Oryctolagus cuniculus: one gene and its partners. The protein of the gene in region 2 purifies or fractionates together with the protein of the main gene of each other region. This does not show direct contact. Links are inferred from orthologs where the notes say so. Each region holds a gene or a part of one and is shown on either strand. Other genes may lie near its edges.

The links.
Region 1: the proteins of ANAPC16 (region 2) and ANAPC7 purify together in Homo sapiens (affinity purification with mass spectrometry; 6 studies listed by BioGRID and IntAct, with this or other methods). This does not show direct contact. The link is inferred for Oryctolagus cuniculus from reciprocal best matches to the Homo sapiens genes ANAPC16 and ANAPC7.
Region 3: the proteins of ANAPC16 (region 2) and ANAPC13 purify together in Homo sapiens (affinity purification with mass spectrometry; 3 studies listed by BioGRID and IntAct, counting the BioPlex papers as one, with this or other methods). This does not show direct contact. The link is inferred for Oryctolagus cuniculus from reciprocal best matches to the Homo sapiens genes ANAPC16 and ANAPC13.

Annotation. Positions count from the first base shown.
Region 1 is NC_091452.1:8,069,313-8,073,198, forward strand, and holds part of ANAPC7 (anaphase-promoting complex subunit 7), read right to left. Parts: intron 2,658-3,886; coding exon of another isoform or gene 2,618-2,657; intron 741-2,617; coding exon 629-740; intron 1-628. UniProt on the Homo sapiens protein: Component of the anaphase promoting complex/cyclosome (APC/C), a cell cycle-regulated E3 ubiquitin ligase that controls progression through mitosis and the G1 phase of the cell cycle.
Region 2 is NC_091446.1:63,342,658-63,346,543, forward strand, and holds part of ANAPC16 (anaphase-promoting complex subunit 16), read left to right. Parts: intron 1-1,139; 5' UTR 1,140-1,166; coding exon 1,167-1,308; intron 1,309-3,886. UniProt on the Homo sapiens protein: Component of the anaphase promoting complex/cyclosome (APC/C), a cell cycle-regulated E3 ubiquitin ligase that controls progression through mitosis and the G1 phase of the cell cycle.
Region 3 is NC_091435.1:146,958,571-146,962,556, reverse strand, and holds the start of ANAPC13 (anaphase-promoting complex subunit 13), read right to left. Parts: upstream 2,380-3,986; 5' UTR 2,175-2,379; exon of another isoform or gene 2,134-2,174; intron 1,996-2,133; exon of another isoform or gene 1,111-1,995; intron 136-1,110; 5' UTR 88-135; coding exon 1-87. Other genes in the region: CEP63 (centrosomal protein of 63 kDa), read left to right, coding at 2,539-2,669. UniProt on the Homo sapiens protein: Component of the anaphase promoting complex/cyclosome (APC/C), a cell cycle-regulated E3 ubiquitin ligase that controls progression through mitosis and the G1 phase of the cell cycle.

The DNA of each region.
Region 1 (3,886 bases), on a different chromosome or scaffold from region 2:
ACTTGGGCCATCCTCCACTGTACTCCCGGGCCACAGCAGAGAGCTGGCCTGGAAGAGGGGCAACCAGGACAGAATCCGGCGCCCCGACCAGGACTAGAACCCGGTGTGCCGGAGCCGCAAGGTGGAGGATTAGCCTAGTGAGCCACGGCGCCGGCCATAGAAAGACCATAATTTAACATTTCTTGAGTAAATATCCAACAACGAGAATCCTATTCAATCACTCTCTGGAGAGCTGGAGAGGACTTTTAAAAAACTAAAGCTATAGGAGCAAGTGCTTGGCACAGGGGTTAAAGAGCTGCCTTGGGTGTCCATATCCTGGACTTGAGTCCTGGCTCCACTCTGATTTCCGCTTTCTGCCTCTGCACAACATGGGAGACAGCAGCGGATGGTTCAAGTAGCTGGGTCCCCGCCTCCCCCGTGAGATGTGTGGATTGAGTTTCCAGCTCCCAGGCATTTTAGGGAGTGAACCAGTGGATGGCAGCTCGCTCTCTCTCAAATAAGGTAAACTTTTAAGAAACAAATCAAAATTAAAAAAATAAATAAAGCTATGTAACGATATGGCCAAGATGGAGAACTACTAGCCTGCACATCAGGCCCTCCATGAACGCAGGTAGAGAATGATCTATACCTAGAATGGCATCCAGGGCTAAAGGGCACTGCCGCAGCACCTCCTTATAGCTGGTGACTGAAGGGCGCTCCTGACCAGCCTTCTTGTACAAATTTGCCAGCATCATGTTTATCTGTATAAAAAAATAAAATAAAGGACAGCAAGTTACATGCATAGTGCCATGAAAAAGTCCTGTTTTTTACTACCAGATACTCTACTGTTTTTTTTACTGGACAACCTACCACAGCCTTCTACAAATAAACAAAGAACAAGCCCATTCATCAAAATGAAGAAGAAACTACTACACTTTCTTTTCCTAGGTACTCCCATCTCTAAGAGGAAAGTCTCATTACCCTCTCACTTACCTAACCAAGAGGCCCAGTATTACCCTGGCCAAAGATGCTGCCTCTGGAAACAAGAACTGCATTCATTTGAGGAATGTCCTAGAATTCTAGTTACCATGATTCTTTTTTGATCTTAAGATAGAGGATGAACTACCCCAAACTGCTAAATTCTGTACATTTTAAATTGAATTACTATTAAGGGATAAGAAAATGAGGACCTGTTAACATAGCTAGTTAAGAAGAATCAGACACATTCTCCCCAGAGGAAATGACAGATAGAGAGGTGTGATACTTGGCTTCTCCCTGACAATGAGACCAATGGCTGGACTCTACCCTAACACTTAAAGCTCTGACATGTGGGTACTATCTGACTCACCAAAGTAACACTATAAAAACCAGATTCAAACTGACCTCCAGAGGCGATCCATGATTAGATATATGATTTAAATCCAGAGTGCAGACATCTGTTTTTTGGCACAATTTAAGTAGATAACTTTGGGGCCAGCATTGTGGTGCAGCAGGTTCAACTACGACTTGTGAGGCTAGCAGCTCACACAGTCCAAGTGCTTGGGTCTCCACCCATGTGGGAGACCAGATGGAGCTCCTAGCTCCTGGCCTTGGCATGGCCCAGGTCTGACTGGCAGCCACTTGAGGAGTGAACCAGCAGATGGAAGATCAGTCTGTTTCTCTCTCATTCTTAGTCTTTTTCTCTGTCACTCTGCCTTTCAAATAAATACATACTTACAAAAATAGACAGATACATATTTAGTAAAACTATATCAATGCTAATTCTCTGTAAAAACCACAGCAGGAAGAATTTGAGGAAATCTCAAAGTTCCAAAGAATGTAGAAGTTACAGAGAAGGGATAAATGATCTCACTAGTGCAAAGAGAAGACAATGTTCCAATTTTAAATTAATAGATCTTAAATATAGAAAGTGTTTGGCAGATCATTAACTGAAGGAAGCAGTCAACATGAGGGCACAAAAGAAAAAAAAAGTCAACCGCAATCTCTTCAGTTATCTGTGGTTCTGCATGCCAGACATTTCCTCAAGGGGTAAACACTCTGAGGATTAAGAACATCTCTTCTCATCAGAGACCTGCATTAGATTAAACAATCCAGTACAGAACTAATCCACACTAATTCAAACAGTAAAGTAATGAAATACTAGAAACAGAAGATTTTCACTTGGCCTCAGATTTTCCATTTTAGGCTATTTTGAAAATGCAAAGGAAGGTACTTAAAGGAAAACTCCAGTATCGGTGTCAATATTAAAAAAAAAAAAAAAGTTGAATTTAAGATCGTTTCTTGACTACTTGTTATTAAAAAGCTATGACAGATGGACCGGATGTTTGAACATCAGAATTTCCTTTAAGCTACTTGACCATCACTGAAAGAATGAGTTCTGAGTACTACTTAGTGAAAAAATCAATTTTCTTAAAAGGTAATTGTTATCTGGGACCATCATAAAGCCACATTTCACCAGCTATAAACTCAAGCAGTCATCATTTTCCAAAAACTAAGTGAGACATTGTACGTTTACTCTTGAAAATTTACCAAGATACAATAATCTTAACACTGGAATTTTCCTTTAACTTATGAGGGAATGTGTGGCGGTGTTTACCATACATTAACAGATGTTCAATTAGACGTATTTTTGACTCACTTCCTTGTCCTTTACACAGACTGAGAAGCCAGTTAACTCCCTAACAGACAAGAAAGAAAAACTGTAAATATTTTAGGTTTATGTTTGAGGCACACATCTTTGTTTGCTCCTGACTACAAGAGTTCAACTGAGAGAAGAATCTGCCCTCCTAACACACAGACTCCTCGAGCCCCTCCTGAAGTGATGGCTGTAGACATTAAGAACTGGGTACCACAAAGCTGAGCTGCTTTGCCAGTAACCCACTTTCTAAAAATGTCCTTCCAAAGCTGGCAAGTCACTGAGGAAACCATGGCACATTTCTAGTGAGACAAGCAACAGTTCATTCAAAATTATCAAAATGGCTTCTTCCAAAAGGAAGACATCTTGAGCATAGGAACAGACACAAAAATTCTGAGGGTAAGAAAAGACTTTTAGACGTTACAACAACACAATTTACTATACAGGACCCAAATACAGTTCCAAGTATTTTTATTAGCAGTAACCTTCATAAATTAGATGGAAGAAATAACTTAAATTTTAAAAACTTAGAAAATAGTAAATAATTCCTTAATACAAGGAAGTCTAAAAACACAGTTCTCAAGAAGTTCTGCTATTTTTAAAATTCAGCAACACTTGAATAAAGCAGCAGTAACTAAAATGCCCCAGATCCCCCTTGCTTAGATTCCTTGCCTTGTAAGGGCAGGAGGATGAACACAAACATCTTACCTGGAAAATTCCTTATTGCTAAGCACAAGCGCCACAGAACAGTTTTTCAATAAAATAAGAAGGGCAGGAGATATGAGTATATGTTAGAGTATTAAATATTGATATGAATTTGAACCTATGAGTAGATTCTCACTGTTCTTCTAAAATGGATTAAAAAAAAAAAAAACTGATGCCCAATATATTATGCCAGGCACTGTGGTGCAGCGGGTTATGCCACCCCTTCGGTCACGCACATCTCATACTGGAGTGCCTGGGTTGGAGTCCCAACTACTCTGTCCAACCTGGGAGGCAGCAGATGGCCCAAGTATTTGAGATCCTCCCACCCACACTGGAAACAGATGGAGTTCCTGACTCCTGGCTTCATCCTACCCAGACCTAGATGTTGCAGGTATTTGGGGGGTAAACCAGAGGATGAAGGATCTGTCACTCTATCTTTCAAATAAAGAAAGCTTTAAAAAGAAAAAGAAAAAGATGTCCAATATATTTGACACCAGGTTCAGGTGTCTACTTGTTTCCTGCTTAGGAGAATGGCTCTAGTAATTGGGTTCCTGCCATCCACAGGAA
Region 2 (3,886 bases):
AATGGCAAAAACACTTAATGAAAAATATTCAGCTAAAATGTTCTCTGATCATTACAGAGGGCAATTCATTTTAAAAATCCTTTTAAACTTTTTTTTTATGTGGCTAAAATTTACATAACACAAAATTAACCATTTATCATCTTAAAGGGCATAATTCAGTATCAACTCATTTTGTAATTTAAATACAGTTGCAGTAGCCAATACAGAAACCACTAGCCACATGTAGCTATTGAAATTTTAATTAACATCCAATACAATTTTAAATACAGTTCTTCCATCATCCTAATTTATAGGCAGTACATGAGGCTGTGACTGCTGTATGAGGCAGTGTAGAAATAGAACATTAGAGCGTTTAACATCACAGCAGAACCTTCCCTGAGACCGCATGGTACTAGACCATTTTTCTACTAAGTATACCCTTCAGAATCTTTCGTTAGGGCCACACAAGCTTTATCCTAGTAAACAGAGTGTGCCTGTTTTGAACTTTTGTAAAAAGTCGTGTCTTCAGTATAGATTTTCTCATTTACATTTGAATTTTTGATATGACAGGGACTAAACACGAGCAGCTGCTGTATTCCTAGCAGGTCAGGATTTCCAGCATCCTTGTCTGAGCTGTTTTGTTCCAGTTTTGGGATGCCACCAAGTGATAAGTTTCGGTACTACATTTGGGTGGAAAGGTTAAAAAAATGTTTAATGAAAGGGCCAATACGTATTTCCTAACCAATTTTCCCTTCCTTGGGAACAGAACACAGTGTTATTCTGAAATTTTATGTGGAAAATTTTATAAGTGAATTTCTTGGTGTGGTTTGGTCAGAGTGTGTCCAAGACAAACTGTCCTATGGAGGATGGTGGTTTAATTTCCACAGTCAGATTTGTGCTTGGCCCTGCCATGGCTCCCCTTCATAACTCGTAAATCACCCACAGTCAGTCTCAAGTGACACACAGTTTGCTGGTCACAGGAAGTAGTCTTTTCAGTAGACAGACTTCTTAAACATACTTTGGCTTCAAAACGAAAAGATTGTGGGAGTTGAAAAGGTAGAAGACAGGGGAACCTGTTCTGTACAAAACTGTATGCTGGCCCTTGCGGTGGAATGAAATGTTGTTGATTGCGCTTCCATTGCTGTTTTTCTTGTCTGTAGTGAAGTGAGCCTTCGCCTGGAGAGGAAATGGCTGCCTCGTCGTCGTCCTCCTCGGCTGGTGGGGTCAGTGGGAGTTCTGTCACTGGATCTGGTTTCAGTGTGTCAGACCTCGCCCCACCACGGAAAGCCCTTTTCACCTACCCCAAAGGAGCTGGAGAGATGTTAGAAGGTGATCTCATGCTGCTTTTTGCTGAATAATTTGCCTTAGACCTGCAGTGAATATTAATTGTAAAGAAGCTTTTAAATGGATTTGAGATCAGTTTGTCCTGATTTCAGCTCTACGTTTCATCTCTTGTTCCCATCTCAAAATAGTATCTTTAAAAACAAATCTTGCTCCATAGTCACAATTTAGGAGCTGAAAAAAAGACTTTGGAAATCAAGGAGGTCATCCAGAGTTATTTAGATCCAGAAGAGTTAAGTTATTTGACCACGTTAAAGGAAGCCGGCACTAGAACCAGCAATTCTTTTAGCTTCCTTCTCCAGTTTGCCTTATCTTTGCACCCATCTACCTCTTCTTGGTGGGAGGTTCATGGTATTTTTTCCTACTATAATTAATCTACAGAAAGAGCATCCCATCAGAGAGGGTCTAAGAGAAAATAATAGCTATCACCCTGCTCTTTAACAAGGAGATGACCCTTCTGGCCCCCTGAAGGCCCCAGAGCCAGGTGTACATGCAGTCATCCACCATCCTGTTGAGCACACAGACTGGCTGGCCAAGATCCAGTATGGGCTGTAAGCATAAAGCCATGTTGGTAGCTGCAGTTCATCAGATTCATGTCAATATTAGGAGCTTGACTAATAGCATCAAAAATCACTTGAAGAGCTTTTTTTAAAATACACATTTATAGACAGGCTTTTGGCCTAGAGGTTAATGATACCTGCATCCCATAGCAGAGTACCTGGGTTCGAGGCTCAGCTTCACTCCCAGTTCCACCTTTCTGCTATGGTGTACTTTGAAGGTAGCACATGATAGCATAAGTATTTGGGTTGCCACCACTCGTGAAGGAGAGCTAGATTGAGTTCCCAGCTCTCAGCTTCAGCCCCTTTCCAGTACTGGCCATTGTGGTCATTTAGGGAGTGAACCAGTGAATGCAAGTGCTCTCACAAATCAAAAATAATAGTAACATATTTCTGGGCCTTGTGTATAGATTCTTAGCATAGCACAAGAATCCTCATTTTGACCAATGTCCAGGACCCTCTCATAAGGATAGTCTTCTCATTTTTTTTCTTTTTTTAAGTATTATTTATTTGGAAGGCAGCATTACAGAGAGAGAGAAAGACAGATCCAGATCTTACATCCACTGGTGGCAGTGATCTTACTGCCAAGGTGGCCACAACTGCCGGAACAGGGCCATGGTGAAGCCAGAAGCCTGGAGTTCCATCGAGGTCTGTCATTTGTGTGGCAGGGCCCAAGCACGTGGGCTGTCTTTCACTGCCTTCCCAGACACATTAGCATGGGGCTGGATCAGAAGTGGAGCAGCCAGGACTCCAATCAGTGCTCATATGGGATGCCAGCATCACAGGCAGCTGCTTCACCTCTTGTACCACAGTGCCAGCCCCTTATCATATTCTGAAAAACATTGACAAAGAACATCTGGACACCAGTTGGAATCCCGGCTGCTCCACTTCTGATCCAGCTCAGACTGGCACAGTCCCGGCTATTGCAGCCATTTGTGGAGTGAGCCAATGAATGCAAAATCTGTCTGTGTCCATCTCTCCCTCTCTCTAACATTGCCTTCCAAATAAATAAATCTTTTTTTTTACATTCTTTTTTTTATTTTATTTTATTTTATTTTTTTGACAGGCAGAGTGGACAGTGAGAGAGAGAGACAGAGAGAAAGGTCTTCCTTTTGCCGTTGGTTCACTCTCCAATGGCTGGCACGCTGCGGCCGGCGCACCGCGCTGATCCGATGGCAGGAGCCAGGTGCTTCTCCTGGTCTCCCATGGGGTATAGGGCCCAAGCACTTGGGCCATCCTCCACTGCACTCCCTGGCCACAGCAGAGAGCTGGCTTGCAAGAGGGGCAACCGGGACAGAATCCGGTGTCCCGACTGGGACTAGAATCCGGTGTGCCGGTGCCGCAAGGCGGAGGATTAGCCTAGTGAGCTGCGGCGCCGGCCAAATAAATAAATCTTTTTAAGAAAATCTACTTGATGCTAGTTTTGAAACTTATTTATATATTTACCTTTTTGCCTGAAATACTACAAATTTACATAAATATATAATTTATTTATTTATTTGAGAGGTAGAGTTAAAGACAGTGAGAGGGAGAGACAGAAAGGTCTTCCATCTGTTGGTTTACTCCCCATTTGGCCACAACGGCCATAGCTGCGCCAGTCTGAAGCTAGGAGCCAGATGCTTCTTCCTGGTCTCTTATGTGGGTGCAGGGGCCCAAGGACTTGGGCCACCTTCTGCTGCTTTCCCAGGCCACAGCAGAGAGCTGGACTGGAAGAGGAGCAGCCAGGACAGAATCCAGCGCCCCAACCGGGACTAGAACCCGATGTGCTGGCGCTGCAGGCAAAGGATTAGCCAAGTGAGCTGCGATGCGGGCTGCATCAGTAACTTAAAGCTACTTATACTTAAAGACAGACTATGGAAAATAATGCAGAGATTGCAACCTCTGAACTCTCCTAAGTCAAACCAAGAATATTAAATTGGGGAAAGGCATTTGGCCTAGCAGGTAAGACACTGGTCAGGATGCCTGTTTCCTAGACTGAGTGCTGGTTTGAGTCCTGGCCCCACCCACGA
Region 3 (3,986 bases), on a different chromosome or scaffold from region 2:
CACATCCTCGTAAGGCAGCTTGTCTTCCCGCCAAGCGTCGTCGATGAGATCCAAGATCCTTCCATCCCGCTGCACCTCACTGTCCATGTTCCCGTGGCTTTGATCTCGGCGGAGCCGGACGCCAAGGGGTTCCTTCTGAAACGGGACGGCAGGAAAGATGTGGACTTAGCACCAGCACTGCCCAGGCATTCCCGAGCCTCCCGTGAAGGCAGGAAGAGGTCCTCTTCCAGGCGGTCAAGTGACAACTTAAAAACCAGAGTTCCTGCGCCCGGTCAGCCGACAAACGCTGTGCAGTGAGCGCCTCTGGACAGACTCATCCATCCGTCTGCACCTGCCCCGATTCAAACCTCAGCACAGGAGCGCACTGCACGCGCTCAGCTCACACCTTAGGACGTGGCCAGGACAGGCCTGCCGCAAGGCCTCAGGCCAGGGACGGCGAGAGCGTCGGAAAGCTTGCTTCCTTCCTAAAACAGTGGCCCGGCCGAGCTCCGAGAGGGGCACCTCCAGGTGAGCAACTGGGGCATCCCAGGCTGCTCCCCCACTCTGAGACCAGGGTATCTCCATCCCGCCCCCCTCAGCGACCATGGTATCTCCCCACTCCCCCTTCTCAAGGACCATGGTATCTCCCCTCCCATCCCCTCTCCCCATGCTCTTCAGTGAGGATGGTGTCTCCCTGCCCCCTCTCAGGGACCATGGTATACCCCCCTCAGTAACCACGGTATCTCCCCCCCGCCCTTCAGTGACGATGGTGTCTCCCTCCCCCCTCTCAGGGACCATGGTATCTCCCCACTCCCAGCTGCACTCAGTGCACAGATGCCTCCTGCCAGCCTCATTGTCCCCTGAGCAGCTGCAACCTCATGCAGAGGCCTGGCTGGCAGGTTCCCTCATCGCTAGCGTTCCTCCACGTTAATCCCAACGGCCCGCACTCCACTGGACCAAAGGCGCCCTCAGGCCCTCCCGGCATCTGACACTGCGGAGGCGCACACAGAAAACCTCGGCGGGCGGCGGGATCCCACTCCATCCACGGGCCTCTGCTCTCCTAACAGCAAGACGGCTCCTAACCCCTGGACCGTAATTCTACCCGCGTCGGGGTGCGGAGAGGTTTCTAACCTCGGTGAACGGGCAGAACTGCGGCAAAGGCGCTCCTTCCGCTACCAGCAAGCCGCGTGGGGCCCCAAGGCTGGCCCAGGACCACGCGGCGACTCGTTGAAGGAGCCTGTCTTCAGGGCTCCTGAGGCTCAGGTGCAGTTATATGCGGTGCAGTCTGTCCCCTTTGCTGGTTTTCCCAGGCCCTCGCAGAGCCCCCTCCTATAAAAGCTTCCGGAGACCTCGGTCCTGACTCATCCAGACACAAGCGAGCTCAGCTCTGCGGCCCGCGGCTCGGGCACGCCTGTCTGGCTGCAGGTGCAAATCCTGCACCAGGATCCCCCAGCAGGTCTCTTCCACCTGTCCGCAAACACCGCCCGCCCAGTCCCACTCTCCCGCTCTGAAATCCTGCCCCTAGCGCCTCTGCATCAGACCTCGCCTTCCCCGCTGGCCTGCAGTCTGGCGACTTCAGGTGAACCCACTGCATGCAGGGAATGGTGTCCGGGCTAGGTTGCCCCCCGCCCCGGACCCGGACCCCAGACCCAGGACTCAGGATTAAATCACCACCTCTACAGCAAGGCTAGGCTCCGTTCTGCATGCCTCACGGGAACCCCGGCCCTGATCAACAAATTCCCGTCACACCACTCTCCGCACCGGCCAGAGGGCCACCGCTGACCAGTGTGCCAACCAGCCCTACTTGTCCTGGGGGCGCCGTGCCTGGCGCCAACAAGGGAGACAGACAGTGCGTGCCTTCCCTGCGACAGGGGCACGTCTTGTCCATCTCTGTCTCCCAAAGCTTTGTGACTAAGCATTTACACGATCAAAGACAAAACACCACCCCAGCTTTTCTGTGGCGCTACAAATGACCCTCGCAGGCCACCGTACCGGGAAGGCCAACCCACAACCACGGCTTCCGGCCCGAGGCGGGCGCTACCAACTGGGGAAACCAGGAGGGGGAGGTCTGGGGCCGCCACGTCAGGGCCTTCCAGCCCGCCACACTCCAAGGGTGAGGTGAAGGCATCGGCCGCGGCCGCTGCACTCGACCCCGTCACACCAAGACCCGCGCCACGAACGCAGGAAACTCTTACCAGCACCCGGCCCAAAGCAGCAGCGCTTCCTCCCGGCCACACCCCGGCACCACGTGACCCGTTCGCCCGTCTCCCAGATCCCCGGATGTGGGTGAGCCCATTTATGCGCGCGGAGGGGCGGTCCGGGTTGGGGGGGGGGTGAGGCGGCAGTGGGCGGAACGAACGTGTCGGCGGCAGAGGGAGGACGTAAGATCGGCGGCGCCGCGCGTGCGCGGGCCCGTCCCGAGGTAACGACGGGAAGGCCACGGGCGCGCTCGCGGCGGCCGCTGGGTAACCGCCAGTGGGGACCTAGGCCCCTGCGAGGGGCGGGCGTGTCCTGGTCCGGAGGCCCTGGCCAACCTGGTGCCCCCAGCCGCGCGGCCGCATGGCCCGGGACTGGCTTCTGCAGCAGCCCGCCGGCCACCAGGGGCGCCCCTCGGCCTGCCCGCCCACGCCTTGTGGCCCCGCGAAGGCGGCCGTGGCCCAGTCCGCGGTGGCGTGCGGCCCTGCGGGGAGGTCAGCCGTGGCCCGCAGGCCGGCCGGAGGGGGGTCGCGGGCTCGGGCGCCGCTGCGTGGAGTGCTCCCTGCGCGGGGAGGCTGCAGGGTGGCGTCGGCGGGGTTGGAGGAGGCAGGCCGCCCTCGACGTTCATATTCACATAGAAGGAAATGGCTTGGAGCGGTTGCTCAGTAACGCCCTACACGACCAGGCTCCTGGGGCTGGATCTGCGGTGCCCTGGCGGCCCTGGGACAGTGGCGGAAGCTCCTGTTCGTTTAGGGCTGCACGAAGCAGCTTCCCCCGAGCCCAGGGTCGGACCCCCGATGTCGGCTTCAGACGCCCCGCGTTTGCACAGTTTTGCTCCCCGTGTAGTTTGAGTTTACGAAGAGGAAACCAGGAGCGACACGGGCTGCATACTGAATCTTTAACGGATGTAGCTTGGTGATCGAGTCTGTGTTCGCTTGCTCGGAAGGCGGTGCCCTTGGTTTTCCTGCTGAGCTCCTTGCTAGTTAGCAAGGCCCTGAAACTGGAATGGGCTAGAGATGTGTAACCACCTAGACACTGCCCTCTGCAGCCCGTGCGAGTCAAGTTCATAAACTCGCTTCTAAGGGTTGTTTAGGTCGATTAGTCCCCGCGCTCCTCTGTGTGGGCCACTCTCACGGCTACCTTCCTGCTCCGCACGCACGCTGTCGGCTTGCAAAAAGCAACATGGACCTCAAAGTTGCAGGCATTGAATTTCTGGTTTATGTTAGCCCTCCCCTCCGCCCCCAAGAGCTAGGTTGGTTTCTGCAGTTGCACAAAGCCACAGAACTCTCACACCTGTGGAGATCAGAATTCCCTACTGTGGGCCTCCGCGGGGCTCGGGTTTCTTCAGCTGCCCCATCCCTGTGTGTAGTTGATCCCAGGTCTCACCCCGAGATCTCCCTGTGTGCTTGACTGATAGACCTTTTAAATCCTACCTGCAAACGGCTCTCTGGCCTCTTTCTGCTGTTCTACACTGACCTGTTTGCCTCCCGAGGTGTGCTTGGGTCCCCTGGAATTGCACCTCCGCCTAGCCAGCTGCAGCGGGTACGCTGATTAACATGGCAGAGCACACAGTCCAGTTCTGCATTGCATAGTGCTTGGTACAGCTGCAGCTCCTCCCGTGGTTACTGTTTGAACAGTGCAGCTGTAAAATTGTTACATAATTGCAGAAGGTTCTTTTGAACAGCGGTAGAATCTACCTTTTTTTTTGGTGGGGGAGGAGGAAGATTCCATAGGTGATACATTGTACTTCCTATCGCATTCGTTTGCATTATCAGCGAGGAAGGAGTGTCTGAGTTTTGTGACAGACTAAG